Arabidopsis thaliana: one gene and its partners. The protein of the gene in region 2 interacts with the protein of the main gene of each other region in a pairwise test. Each region holds a gene or a part of one and is shown on either strand. Other genes may lie near its edges. The genes, in order: RACK1B_AT, MEKK1 and RACK1C_AT.

The links.
Region 1: the proteins of MEKK1 (region 2) and RACK1B_AT come close enough for resonance energy transfer, tested with the Arabidopsis thaliana proteins (one study listed by BioGRID).
Region 3: the proteins of MEKK1 (region 2) and RACK1C_AT come close enough for resonance energy transfer, tested with the Arabidopsis thaliana proteins (one study listed by BioGRID).

Annotation. Positions count from the first base shown.
Region 1 is NC_003070.9:17,980,593-17,985,084, reverse strand, and holds RACK1B_AT (receptor for activated C kinase 1B), read left to right. Parts: upstream 1-1,707; 5' UTR 1,708-1,816; coding exon 1,817-2,695; intron 2,696-3,006; coding exon 3,007-3,108; 3' UTR 3,109-3,449; downstream 3,450-4,492. Other genes in the region: PEX3 (peroxin 3), read right to left, coding at 1-11, 116-186, 294-424, 498-688, 779-940, 1,121-1,134.
Region 2 is NC_003075.7:5,402,938-5,409,329, forward strand, and holds MEKK1 (MAPK/ERK kinase kinase 1), read right to left. Parts: upstream 4,384-6,392; 5' UTR 4,126-4,383; coding exon 3,068-4,125; intron 2,895-3,067; coding exon 2,810-2,894; intron 2,677-2,809; coding exon 2,614-2,676; intron 2,527-2,613; coding exon 2,369-2,526; intron 2,267-2,368; coding exon 2,194-2,266; intron 2,096-2,193; coding exon 2,036-2,095; intron 1,781-2,035; coding exon 1,667-1,780; intron 1,551-1,666; coding exon 1,335-1,550; 3' UTR 1,307-1,334; intron 1,212-1,306; 3' UTR 734-1,211; downstream 1-733.
Region 3 is NC_003074.8:6,210,095-6,214,515, forward strand, and holds RACK1C_AT (receptor for activated C kinase 1C), read right to left. Parts: upstream 2,458-4,421; 5' UTR 2,278-2,457; coding exon 1,399-2,277; intron 1,117-1,398; coding exon 1,015-1,116; 3' UTR 784-1,014; downstream 1-783. Other genes in the region: AT3G18120 (F-box associated ubiquitination effector family protein), read right to left, coding at 1-478; LST8-1 (Transducin/WD40 repeat-like superfamily protein), read right to left, coding at 2,649-2,755, 2,836-2,895, 2,975-3,054, 3,135-3,217, 3,317-3,433, 3,504-3,581, 3,756-3,825, 3,980-4,092 and 2 more. UniProt on the Arabidopsis thaliana protein: Minor component of the RACK1 regulatory proteins that play a role in multiple signal transduction pathways. Involved in multiple hormone responses and developmental processes.

The DNA of each region.
Region 1 (4,492 bases), on a different chromosome or scaffold from region 2:
GTAATCTGGAACTATATCAAAGAAAGATAGGTGATTCCAGAGTATTAGTCCACAGATAGGTCAAATGCATAATCGTTATCGCAATTAAACACAGCTACTAGAGACATAATTATACAAGTTCTTAACAGAACAACCAGTGAGTTTCCCCGAGAAATAGCTTGTTGGGGATGAGATAAGCAAAGTACACTGAATCATACTTGCGAGCAAATGAGAGCAGTAAAGAACATGTGCAGTATCGTTTAATAAACAGCAAATTCTCCAATACAGAGAAGAGGGGAAGCATATTATCTTACAAGTAAATGAGAGCTGCCAAGAGCTCGAGCGGTGTCAACATACAAATGTCTGCCTAAAATGTTGACTTGAACCCTAATGTATAAGCTAAGCATTGTCACAGACCACAGAGACAAAACCATCCTCGTGAAACCTGGCAAATAACATGAATATACAGGTAAGAAACAGAATTTGATAGAGTAAGAGTAGGTGACTGCAGTGCATACTCAAAATCTTGAGCTCATCCCAGAGCTGAAGTTTCTCAGGTGGACTCAGCATTCCTTTCCCTTGGTTCAGTCTGTCCATAACATGAGAGACATCGATCTCCTCGCTGATACGGATACTCAAAAACTGCATTGCGTGAGGCAGTGTGGTCGAATCCACAATCATCTGAATACTCTCGAAATGTGCTTTCATTCTAAACAAGAGTACAAACAAGACAGGTCCGTTAGAGAATCCATAAGAACTGAAGTCTAAAGGATCAGTTTTTATGAGCACAGAACTTAACTGGGTTTTGATGATTTCGTCATTTTCACGCTCGTGAGCGAGTTCTCGTTCCAAATCAGCAAGCCTACGAGTATGGGAATTGTATAGTTTGTAGAGTAAATACCCACTTCCCAAACAACCAGCCGTCACCAAGACCTTCCTTCTATGCTTCCTCCAAAAACCCCTAATTTATTCCACAAGGTATTGAATCAATTAAAAACCCTAACTTTATTCACCAAAAACCCTTCCTAAGGAATTGGAATTAGTGTGCTAGAGAGAGAGAGATAGAGAACGCAAAACACTAAATTTCGAATTTTCACGAAAACAGTAAGCAATTACAAAGAAAGATGAAGCGAACAAGAACCTAACGAAATCCATGGCTGGTGAAGCTTTTACTGAAGTCGAACCCAGAGATACATAGCTGAGAAAACACGTAGAAAGATGAAGATTCCCGAATTGATTCGTTCGGTTTGAAAAGGAGATAACTTTGCAGGCGAGAGAAAGAGATGGTTGATGTGATCGATTTCAATTTAATCAATCACTTCATCTTTTTCTTCTCCGGAATTCGGACATGTAAAATTATATCTTCCACAGGGACAGTCGAAGTTGTGTTCTTAGTTCTTACAATAAAAGTTGAAATGGCCAAACTCGGTTTGTTTACTTTAATTGAACCGACTTTTGAGTCTATTTCAATTTTTGACAATAACTTCTCGGTAGAGTTCTCATGGGGTTTGCCCAAAAGAGAGAAAAAAAAGTTGTCATGTCATGTACTCATGTGGTTATCAAATTGACTTGTAACAAGCTATACCAATTCTGGTTAAGCGTTCCAAACAGAAAGATATAAATCTCGGTTCCATAATTGTCCCAACATGAAACCAAGTTGGGTAGAATACCGGGCCTTAATGCTGGCCCAAATGAAGAGACCCAAACTATTGACAAATGAAAACAAAGAACCCTAATTATCTCTAACTATAAATACTCTCGGTTTCTCGTTACCTCCATTTTGCCCTCTCCCATTTTTGTCGCCGAAACCCTAAATCTCGACCTCAAACCCTGAACCATGGCTGAAGGACTCGTGTTGAAAGGCACAATGTGTGCCCACACTGATATGGTCACCGCCATTGCTACACCGGTCGATAACTCCGACGTGATTGTAACTTCGTCGCGTGACAAATCAATCATCCTCTGGAAACTCACAAAGGAAGACAAGTCATACGGTGTTGCTCAGCGGAGGATGACTGGTCACTCTCACTTCGTTCAAGACGTTGTTCTCTCCTCCGATGGACAATTCGCTCTCTCCGGATCTTGGGACGGTGAGCTTCGTCTCTGGGATCTCGCTACCGGAGAATCTACTCGTCGTTTCGTTGGTCACACGAAAGATGTTCTCTCTGTTGCTTTCTCTACCGATAACCGTCAGATCGTCTCTGCTTCTCGTGATCGTACGATTAAGCTTTGGAACACGCTTGGTGAGTGTAAGTATACCATCTCTGAAGCTGATGGTCACAAGGAATGGGTTAGTTGTGTTAGGTTTAGTCCTAATACTCTTGTGCCAACTATTGTATCTGCTTCTTGGGATAAAACTGTGAAGGTCTGGAATCTTCAGAATTGTAAGCTTAGGAACACTCTTGCTGGTCACTCTGGTTACTTGAACACTGTGGCTGTGTCACCTGATGGTTCGTTGTGTGCCAGTGGTGGCAAAGATGGTGTGATCTTGCTTTGGGATTTGGCTGAAGGGAAGAAGTTGTATTCTCTTGAAGCTGGCTCTATTATTCATTCACTTTGCTTCAGTCCCAATAGGTACTGGTTGTGTGCAGCAACAGAGAATAGCATTAGGATTTGGGATCTCGAGAGTAAGTCTGTTGTTGAGGATTTGAAGGTTGATCTTAAGGCTGAGGCTGAAAAGACTGATGGTTCTACTGGAATCGGAAACAAGACCAAGGTATCTATTTCTCCTCACTCTATCTTATGGTTAATTGTCTAGTTCTAAGTTCTGTGAATTAGTTAGCCGTTGCCTTAAAAGATGAGATTTTCATAAAGGAAGGTCTGAATACTCTCATGTGAAGTTAGTTCACAAGATTTGATTGGTACGTAAGAGAGTAGCTAACATTAGATTGAGAAACCTGGTTTTAAGTTAGCTCTAGTCTCTGATTTCTTAGATTGTAGTGTCTGAAGTGATTCCATATTGATTTGTTGGTTACTCTTTGGTCTGAGGTGGTTTATATATGTTCTAATGTGGAATGTAAAATGCAGGTGATCTACTGCACAAGCTTGAACTGGAGTGCAGATGGAAACACTTTGTTCAGTGGATACACTGATGGAGTTATCAGGGTTTGGGGTATTGGTCGTTACTAGAGAGACAAGAAGTTTCTTTATTCTCTCCAAATTTTTCCATCGACTCTAAAGTCTTCTCTTCTGAATTAGTGTTTTGAGGATTTATTTTTTGTTCTTTTCTATTTTCAGAATCCACAAATGTGATATTTTGATACATTGATTTTGTTTCATATTTGTTTTCTTACACTGAGTCTGAGTACACGGCGTAGAATCTGATTTGAAGTTGTTACTTGTATCCTCTAGAAAGTAGAAATGGCTTTAGGTTGATGACTAACTGTATAACAGCAAGAATTTTTTCTTAGGAATCTGAAAACTTCAAGGAGTTATTAGCCTTTACTTTTCCAGTGGTTACATCTTAACTACAACACGAACCCTTTCAAAAGAATCTCTAAACACCAATGCACCAACCAGTTTATCTTTTTGTACTTAATGATATTTGGTTTTCCATCTCTTACTCTACCAAAACTAAGAGTAGTCTAAAGTGTAGGCGACAAGGCCATATGTTATACGAATTCTCAGTTAACATGAACCGAATATAGCCCATATAGAATAGTTCTTGACCCAGACGCTTACCTCCATACGGCACAGAGTCTCTGATAAATGGGTCTTATTAGCATTAATTTTGTGTGTAGCCAAAGGTTGAAACTTGAGAACTTCTTCATGCTCAAAAACACCAAATGAGGTAAACCATGCACGAGTCAATAGTCAATAATCAAAAGTGCAATCAAGATTGTTTTCACTGCTTTTCCGAAGAAACCAAGACCCCCTATGACATGTTTCAGCATCATAAGCCGCTCAACAAAGCAATGCTTAATTGCTCTGTAAAATTTTTCATATTTCTTATCTTTTAGATATTCTACACCCAATACCCAAGTCCACGTATATAACAAGATCTTAATTAGGCTCCGTAGGCTTCGACAACATGTCCATTTTATATCATGCTTTTTTTTGTAGTCCAAATAAGCTAAGGTTGATCAAGAATGGAACATCAAACTACTAAAACTATAGATCGTTTAGCTCTGCATGATTTAGAGAAACCGCAGCAAAACTATTTCTATCGTCATTAGATGATATAATACAACCTTTTGCACTAATTTAGGCTTTGCAAATTTGAGAAAAAGAAATATAGACTTTATTATATTCTGTTTTGTTAACAAATTAGGCTAATCTACCTCATATTGGTTACTCGGATACTTTCTTCTCAAATGCGACAAGTCTCAACATGTTTCGATCAAATAGACGTGTTTCTATACTGCTTTGATGTTTTTTTATGTTCCCTGGTGCAGTTTCCTTGATTTGGACCGAACTTGGAACATAAGAGAAAACATGTCGCCTACGATATGGTTCTGCATGTTCTCCAAGATCCAATTCTCTAAAGTACCCCGCCTCGCCAATGATGTTGATT
Region 2 (6,392 bases):
CTGAAAAGACACTAAAAAGACACGAGAAATAACGTAAAGAGTCAAAATAGGGTTAGACTTGGCTATGAAACCTCTTGGAGACTATTCTTGTTTTGTATAACCTGTGTGAGCACCCAATATCCAGAATTGACAGTATAGCCTCCGAATTAGGGCTGAGCAGAGAGCAGATATCCGGGATTTTGGTGTTGTTTGTGATTCGATTTGCTTTATCAGAATACTTATTTTTTTTTTTTTGTATTTGCTTTGAGAGAGACCAAATATTCGGTGGTTTTGAATATCCGTTAAAATCTAAACCATTTAATTATCATATATCGGATTTGTTAAATATTTATTTTAAAAAAATATAAAAATATAAAATTTAATCCAAAAATAGTAAAATTTTATCAAAAATAGTAATATTTTATATTTCTCTTTTCAATGTTAAAACTAGTAGTTCAAATAATTAATTAGGTGATTAGAAAATTATAATTAAATTGAGTAGAATAACGGATCAAAGCGAATCTAACAAATATTCTATCTAGTCGTACTCCAAACTTGGTATAATCCCAAGTATAGGTATCTTGTGTATTTTTTTTCCTGGCATTTAGATCCCCGTTGAAAATGGTCAAAGCCAAAATTCTTTCGATTATCTTTTTTTTTGGTCACTTTTGAATTTTTTTATAAATCCATCATTTCCAATAACTTTTCAACGGGCAATATTGTAAAAGAAAAAAAAACAAGTTGAATTATATAGACTTCAATTAAAGTGGCTTTGACCTGAATTATAGAAAATATCTTGACTATACTTTTTAATAGATGATTAGAGCAGCAGATTTCTTTAAAATATGAGACAAATAGAACTTAAACCCATCGATGTGTGTACACAGTTACAACAAGCCAGGAACTATAAGAACCAACTATAATTATACATTACATGATATAGATACAGACATACATACACTATAATTTAACAAAAAAAACTAAACAAAACCTATACACCCAAAAACCCCAAGGTCGACATTTCTAATTCCTAGAAAAATAAGGCTCTTCAGTTTTAAAATCAAGCCCAACACATAACTTGCAACAAATAACCAACGAATGACACAGAAACTAAGTAAGTTTGGCTCTTGCTGCGCAACCCGACCGCACGTGTGTGTGTGTCGAAGAATCATGTCTCGTGTCTCCCAATAGTTTCTCTGGGATCTAATCTCTCATAAATCTTCGGGTTATGCCTGCTTTTGTACATTAGGACATCAATGTTAGAAGAATATATAGCTTTTGTTGATTCTGATAATATCCTCATGAAAAAAGCAACTAAATACTTCACCTATTGAGGAAATTTACTAAAATTAGCCTCATCTACGGAGAAGGGGAGATGCTGATCCCGAGCCTCCTGAACCCACGGATGGTAAGGGTCTTCTCACAAATGGATGGTTCAGCAGTTCAGCTGCAGTTGGCCGCTCTTCCGGGTTCACTTTAAGACACTTAAGTATGAAAAGCCGAGCATCTAGTGATAACGTATCAGGTACTTCCGGAAGAGTACCCCTTCCGATCCTAAACAGGGCTTGAACCTGCGCGTTTGCACAAATTCTGACTTTTAACTCATAAAATCCCATAAAGTAGACACTTCAAATGTCGTTTAAGATTATTAAGACAGTTCAAAAGTTTGAAAATCTTGAAGACTTACGGGTTCGAGATCAGAGTAGGGGATCTGACCAGTACACATTTCCAGCACAGTGCACCCGAGGCTCCATATATCAGCTGGACTTCCATAGCCATCACTATCCTTTCGGTTAATAACCTGATCAAATGATTATGTTCTATTTAGATATAACCATACAAGTATAGCCTCAAGTACAATGAAAGTGAAATGAATCCACATCTGTTACGTACGATTAACATACATACTTACAATTATCAAAAACCATTAACTGATATAAAGAAAATTTCACCAAATATTTGAAGCAAACATAACCAGGAGTTTTTGAGGTTATAAAGCCCAGACCAGAACATTTCTATTAATGTAAATCACTGGGAAAGTTTCCCAAAACCATACCTCTGGAGCCATCCAAAATGGAGTTCCCTTGCAGGACTTAATGTCGTTAAACTTTGAAACCTAAATAAAAAAAAATGACAAACATATCAGGGTACTAAACGATGGACCAAGTAATTACTTTAGAGCAAAGCTATAAATATCTATTTATGGAAAAAAACCTTTGCCAATCCAAAATCTGCAAGTTTGACGGCGCCATTAGCGTCCACCAATATATTTGCACATTTGATGTCCCTTTGTTGCATAAAATGATAAAAATAAGTAACCCATGAGATGCAGGAAATTAGATAGATGCTTGGGAATTACAGCTGTACCAAGAGAGTTTACTAGTCTAACCTGTGAATAAAACCTTTATCGTGGAGATATTTCAAACCGTCAAGAATCTGTCTAGTGTACAAGGAGACTACAGAGTCCCGAAGCTGGTATCTTTGGTAGAGTTTTAGAAGGGACCCTTGGGTTACAAGCTCAAGAAAAATGTACAAGTTTGACCCATCCTGAAAACAGCGAAATGAGTTATTATTGCACAATGAAATAGTTAGGCAACTGCAACTAAGAAAAAGAAAGAGAGAACAGGACCACACCTTGGCTGTGCCACGATATCTCACAATATTCTGATGCTGAAGCTGACTAAGTAGTTTAATCTCCTGTAGAAAATGAAAAATATGGCAAAGGTAAGGTGGATTAGCAACCTACTTTTGACTGCTCCATGAGATAATGACAGAAGTGATAAATGCTACGGATCATTGACCCATGTATATGAAACTTCCATTTCCATACCCCCTCAAGTTGTTGTATGCATTCTTGTGCCTGACTTCCCTGATCAAGAAGTGAAACTTCCTTGACAGCAAAGAAGTCCCCATCTCTACATATAACATAAACATCCATTAGCCAAACGCATAATGGAAGACTCGTTTGGACCACATTTGTCAGCCGACTACTGTAGTATTCCTCATTGAGTGTCTACTTTTTTAAAACATCATGCGACTAAGTATCTGATTTCAAGTTCAACAAACACAAGCAACCAGTAAGACTTACCCAGAAATGCCTTCATACACAGAACCAAATGATCCTCGTCCCAAAAGTTGACCCTTTTGCCAAGACGTTATGATAGCTCCTCCATCTGGATAGATAGGCGAAGTATTGGATACTGTGCTTGAGGAGTCACCCTCATTTGTAGTGAATGAGCACGTCTCGTCAGCCGTATCCCCCAACTGGATAAACCTAGCTCCCATCTCTTCCGCTTCCGCTTCCTCTTCCTTGCCTTCCTCTTCATCGCATCCATCCTCGGAAGAAGAAGAAGAGGAACTCGGCCGCTTAACTGTTTCACTTGGAGCGAAATGCGTCAGGAAATCCCAAGACGATCCCCGATGATCAATAGGGGGTCGTTTCATAGCCGGAGGAGGCTTAAGTACTGGTGGTCTTAGCCCCTTAATACCACCACCAACACCAACACCAACAGCCACTACATTATTTGGTACAAGATACCCTTTCGACTTCACAATAGTTGGTGTTCTTTCCATAACACGCCTATTCTCTACCACACCATCAGCTACTAACCTATCCACAGGAGTGATTAAATTCCCAATCTCACTCAACTCAGTAACAATTCCACCACTAGGACCTGCTTCACTCAAATCCTGACCCTGAACCTTATGATTCATTGAATCAGAACCAACAACAACACCACTAGGACCTTCTTCACTCAAATCCTGATCACGAACCTTATCAAGATCAAAAGACTTAAACCTATTAACAACATCTGAAGAAGAACGTTTCTTACAAGCTTCCCAAGCATCAAAAGAAATAGCCAAATCATCAGGACCAGAAACACCAAGAGACCGATAAATCCGATCCATCTCTCCAACACCACCACCGATTCGGAAACTAGTAGGCTCCGGAAACTCCAAAGAGCGAGTCATCAACGAAGAAGTCGAAACGGAAAGATCTTCAGCTGACGAACTAGAACATGAAGCTGCGTCGTAATTGATATTCCTCGCCGCATCGCGACGCTCTAACCGCCGTACCGGAGTAATATTCTTATCTCCTCCTCTTCGTCCAGTTGATTTCTTCATACGAGCTAGAATTCTGTCCATAACCAGCTCAAATCCATACGCTATTTACAAGTTCCAAGTCAAAATTGAAGAGAATCGCACCTCTTACTTGGCTTCAATGGAGCTTGGAATTGGAAAATTTTCCCGAGAAAAAAAACTCGCGGGAGTGAAGAAGACCGAGAAATTTGGGCAAAACCTGACGGCGAAGAGAGAGATATGAGAGAAGAGAGAGAGAGAAAGAGAAGAAATGTAAACAAAAACGCGGTGTTTCGTGGAATAATCGGAGACGAAGCATTGTTTCGGCGTTTTTGATTGTTCCATGAGAGTCTTTACTTTTTTTGTTTACGCGTTCACTTACTGGGCTTTTTAATTGGGCTTACAATTGTTGGGCTTCTTAAGCTTTCAGTTTGGAGTTTTGAGTTGAATATATTAATTATGTAGACTTGAGTTTGTTGTTTTAAAAAATACAAAATAATCTTATGAAATCTAAAATAGCCTATTTTGCAATTTTATATATATTGTAAATGTTTTCACGATTACATACATTTGTTTTTAAAACTTTTAAAGATATACTTGAACTCTTCATCTCGAGGTTCCGATTTAATATATTATTTATCAAAATTTTAAAATTTGATAGTAACGAAAAATCTATATTGTGTATTATTTTGAAATTCATATGATATTTTGCATTTTTTGGATCTGAAGAATAAAGTTGTAAAAATAGACGAGTTTGAGGATTTTTTTGCATAAAACCCTTTTAAAAAGTAGAGTTTAGATGGTTTTAAGGTGTTAAACTTAAAACATGTGTAAACTTTAGAATCCGTGGACGAGGCATACACCGCTTTACTATAGGACGTGTTAATATATTTTTAACTTTTAAGTACAAAAGAAAATAAGTGTCGTGGATTAGTTAATCGATGTAGTAGAGTATTGCGAGTTTGATTGTGTGTTTTGCAGGGTTTTGATAGAGGTAAATAAAAAATCTGTTAAACATACAAAAGTTAGAAGTAATATAGTTAACCTACGAAAAGATTGTAACTAAATAAACATATTACTATAAATTATACAACATATAACAAATAGAAAGATTACTTCGATAAACCTAAATAGAGCAAAATTTTCTACCGCTTACTTTTCGTACAATTTTTGAACTTTAACATGGACAATGTCTAAGCAAAATTTTGTTTTGTTTAATTGTTTTTGTTGAAAAGATGTAAATAAAAATTGCATGCCCAAAACTCGTCTACAAAATCAAAGCAATTTTTTTTTACTTTTGCCCATCAAAGAGCATAGTAATGTATCAAACTTATTTTTATATATAGATATAAAGATTTAATGGGTAAATTGCTTTAGAGATCGTGTGTGTGAAGAAGCAATAATCATATATTATTTTAATCATCTTACGAAGAGTTAAGTGTCAGGGAAGAAGTTTGTTCTCATTCGCTCAAAATTGGAAACACTTATGTTGGTTATGTTAGTTATGATTTTTTGAGGGATATATTGCTTAGATTTCGAAACGAATTGGGTGAAGTTATTGAGTAAATCGTTTAGCTAGATTAGTTCGTATCATGTATTGATTTTAATTTGTTTATGTAATCTCTTCTCATCATTATTGGGTAGCAAAAATAAAGCTTTTCTTTTAAAAACAACAACTTCTGGCTACAAACAAAATGTCAATATCCAATTAACAAAATTATCTAAAACTAAACTGAAAATTGTAAATTCTAAACAAAAATTCTTAAACCAAATCACTTAGACTTCACTTTAGTAACCTTTAATTAATAAATAATATATCTATATTTAGTTCTGGAAGAGTCAGCCTTTTATTTTAAAAATCTAAAAATTTGTCTCCTAGTCATCCTTTTATAGGAAGAAAATACTAAATTTCTTTATTCAAATAAATACTATAACAAAATATTAATATTTTAATGTATAATTTGGTAATATATTTAAAATTCAGACACATTGACATTATAATTAGGCAATTTGGTACCATGTTAATGAAATATTAATGTTGATTAACTATTTAGGCTAAAATTCAATTAATATTTGGTAAAAATACTTATTAATAATTGTATTACATAATCTGGTAATATATTTATGATCACTAATGTCTATTAACTAATTATAGTAAATTATTTATCAAAAGATATTAAAATTAATATTTAGATATCTTACTTAAATAATAATATTTTTCTTTTTAAAATTGATCATATCAAAAAATAGTGTACTTTACAAGTAACTTATATGATATGTGTAAAAAAGTAAGAAAATTGATAACTTAGCTAAAATTGGTCATATACATTGAT
Region 3 (4,421 bases), on a different chromosome or scaffold from region 2:
CTTGGAACATAAGAACAGATACGTGGGTGATAAAGGCTATGTAGCGCTCCCGCGTCTCTGTGTCTTTATCCAAAAACACGACAACTTTCTTCTCCTCGTCAACAAAGAAATTCCCAGCGGCAACCTGAAACTGCAAACCAGTTAGTGGTTCCATACCCACCGCTAAGAACAACTTGCTCCACGACGCTGTTTCGGGCTCAATCTTAGTCGTAATCCATATCTCCATCTGTAATGTATCATCTCTCTCAAATAACACTGTAAGTTGCTCATCTCTAACACTAGATAGAGTCACAGTATCTTCATTAAAAGAGTGAAACGGTAGACTTAGAGGGGGTCCAAATATCTCTCTTGTAAAATCATAACAGAGTAAGAACTCAGGGAGATGCTTTTGTTGAGTATTTCCCTTGAGAGACACGCCACGTGCAGAAAACTGTATCTCCCAGTTCGCAGAGTTAATGTTAGGGATAGTAATATTCATCCGTGGTTTAGAGGAGTTGAGGACTTGAGGTAGTAGAGTTCATACTGTACGTATCCGTAACAAGGTTCACTAAATCCCTTGGAAGATTGGCCATCATCATCTCAAGGATCATAAATAAGTTAGGTTAATGCTTCAGAAGATACTCTCCTCTGCTTCCGGTGGTTACAAATTTGAAGACAAAGAAACCCACCCTAACTGAATTGGGCCAATCATGGGCTTTAGAAATCTAATAGGCTTGTAATGTGGCCGGTGAAAGAGATAAGAGTGATATATTATAGGGATGAATTGTGAAGATTGAACCTCAATAAGACCAATCGGAAGATCACGAAGGTAAGTGTAATCAAAATCGTGACCTTTTGATATATAGTGATATGATAATCAATGGATTGTTTTTTTCTCTTCTGGAAATTAAACAAAAATTGCCAAAATAGAGGTTTGCGAGAGACTAATACAATACTGACGCAGTCTGGAAAAATTAAAAGCAGCTAAACTTTTTTCCGGAGATTTCGTGACTTCTTCTTCATCTTGTTGTGTCTCTAGTAACGACCAATACCCCAGACCCTGACAACTCCATCAGTGTAACCACTGAACAATGTGCTTCCATCTGCACTCCAGTTCAAGCTTGTGCAGTAGATAACCTGCATTTTCATTACACATTCCCATTAGATACCATTATCAATCTCTTCCTATATGTTAACATCAAAGTCAAAACCTTTGGAGCAGAGCAACATTTAAAGAATAAAATTCCTAGTTTCAAAGCTAATGGGTAAGGGAAAAGATTTCCTACATGCAATTTCTAACCAAAATTTCACTTTTTTTTTGTCATAACCAAAGATAATTTCATCACTACTTTTGGTGCATTCACTAACCTATCAATAGAGAACCAATTACTATAGTGAAATCATAAGATAATGACGTACCTTCTTCTGGTTACCAGTTCCAACACCACCTTCATTCTTCTCTGCCTCAGACTTGAGATCAACCTTCAAGTCCTCAACAACAGACTTGCTCTCAAGATCCCAAATCCTAATGCTATTCTCAGTAGCAGCACACAACCAGTATCTGTTAGGACTGAAGCAAAGCGAGTGAATAATCGAACCCGCCTCAAGCGAGTAAAGCTTCTTTCCTTCAGCCAAATCCCACAACAAGATAACACCATCTTTCCCACCACTGGCGCATAGCGAACCATCAGGCGAGACAGCAACAGTGTTGAGGTAACCAGAGTGACCAACAAGAGAGTTCCTCAGCTTACAGTTCTGGAGATTCCAAACTTTCACAGTTTTATCCCAAGAAGCAGATACAATAGTTGGTACAAGAGTATTAGGACTAAACCTAACACAACTAACCCATTCCTTGTGACCATCACCTTCAGAGATGGTATACTTACACTCACCAAGTGTGTTCCAAAGCTTAATCGTACGATCACGAGAAGCAGACACGATCTGCCGGTTATCAGTAGAGAATGCAACAGAGAGCACATCTTTCGTATGACCAACGAATCGACGAGTTGTTTCTCCCGTGGCAAGATCCCAGAGACGGAGCTCACCGTCCCAGCTTCCGGAGAGTGCAAACTGACCGTCCGATGAGAGAACAACATCTTCCACGAAGTGAGAGTGACCTGTGAGCCTACGCTGAGCAACACCGTAAGACTTATCGTCCTTTGTGAGTTTCCAGAGGATGATGGATTTGTCACGCGACGCTGTGACGATGATGTCGGAATTGTCGATCGGCGTAGCGATGGCCGTGACAATGTCGGTGTGGGCGCGCATAATGCCCTTCAATACGAGTCCCTCGGCCATGGTTTGAGGTTTTCGGGTTTCTTCTTCTTACTCACGAAAATGGCGTAACAGAGCGAGAGATTACGAGGTCGATTGAAATGTTTGGTATTTATACTCTAGGTCTAAAAATGAATCAAATTAGGGTTTAGTGTGGTTTCTGCGAGGAGACTGGCTCATTTGGGCCGGAGTTTCCGAGTCAGGTATAAATGGGCCTCTTCTGAAATAAATTTTGTTGGAGCATTTTTGTTGTGATATAGTTGAGAAATGTTTGATCAGAGAGGGAACATAAGAGCAATTTGAACGAATTCGATTGAAATGTACAAGAGTTTACTAAAACACAAATAACACAATCGTAGTTTGTTCATAATTTAGCTTTGATTCTTATTAAGGTTTTAATCGTGAAGTGCACAGCACACAGTGGCTTTGTGATGACCTTGGTACACTTTCACTTCTTTGCCTGCTGGCATCGACCACAATCTAGCCGTCATGTCCGATGATGCTGTACAACATCATAGAAACCCGTTTAAAGATTGTTCTGATATGTTTTTCAGTGGTTTAAGTTAAGACAGAGATTAGTACCTGTTACAAGAAATTCTCCATCCACTGAGAAGACGCAGTCCCAAACCCATCTTTGATGTCCTGTTATATAAGATTTGATGATAGTGTAAGAGACGATAATGGAGAATGAATGCTGTTGACAGTAACATGGAGAACATACCTGTTAAAACTTTCTCTAGTTTAAAACCATCGACGTTCCATATTTTGACAGTTTTATCAGATGATGCAGTCGCTAGATATCTGCTAACAAATATGTAAGAGCTTCGAAAAGGAGAGGATGAAGAAAACGGTTAAAAGAGAAAGTATAAGAAACATGTTACTTGTTTGCAGGAGAGAGGAGACATTTAAGGATGTGGCCATTATGAGCTTGCAGCTTATGAAGGGGCTCAAACTCTGTCATTGTCTGTAAAAGATTTTGAATTTTTAAATGGCATGGACAATTAGAGTAATGCGACTACAACATGGTTAAACAAAAGAAAGGTTTGCATATCAGGAACACTACCTGTTTTCCACGCAACAAGCGCCATACATAACATGTTCCACGGTTGTTAGCAGCGACTACCATTGTCCCATCCCACATAACAGTTAAAGACCGTACAGCTGTATCAACTTCTGGTACCTATAGTTAACCTCAAGTGATTATCTACGGATTTTCAGAAATGAAATGAAGACGTGTCAAAGGCAATTACCAGTTCACAGCTACACGAATTTGCTCTGAGATCCCATACACGTATATTTCCATTTTGGTCTCCAGATATCAATTCAGTCTGTACAAAAAAAAAAAACAAAGTTCATAATAAAGACTAAGGAAATAGTTCATAATAACAGCTGAGACAACTACCAAAATCACAGCAGTTTCAACAGTAGCAATACAACAACTCTCTTAAACATAAAACGAAGCTGATTCCCACAGCACAACAATAACAGATGACTTCATGTACCTGATTTGGGTGTAAAACAACTGTATTAACCGCTGCAACACTTTCATACTCCTTTTGGCAACCCGGAGCCCTGCATTTTGGTTTACGAGTCAACAAGAATACAATTTAGAACGTTCTTAGTATTTTTCGTAACTTTATATTCAATATCTCCTTATCCTTTCCCAGAATCCACACTTGAATAAATCTATAAACTTTTAGCTAAAGATGAAGATGACATGATATACCTTAAGTCCCAGATCTTAACTGTGCCATCTTCTGATCCTGAATACATCCATTTTGCATCACATTGAAATCCTACTGCCATAACATTGTTGGTGTGTGAATCGTAAGTCATCACCTAATACACACGACGACTCCATCAAGATCACTCAAGCAGGTAGAAGGAAGCAAACACCACATTGAGAAAAAAAGAGAGGAGTTTTACAGGTTGAGGACTATTGGAATTGACATCAAAGAGTCGAATATGAGGATTGCAAGCTGCAGCTAGATAATGCTTATCTGGGGTTATCTCAAGCCTATTTACATGCTGCAATTACAAACATTAATTTGTCTCAGTTTTATTAATTACTCAGAATTCACAAAATCAAGGGAGAGAGAGAGAGAAACAAACCGAATCAGGATACTGAATGGTACGGTAACAGCGACCAGTTTCGGCTTCCCAGAATC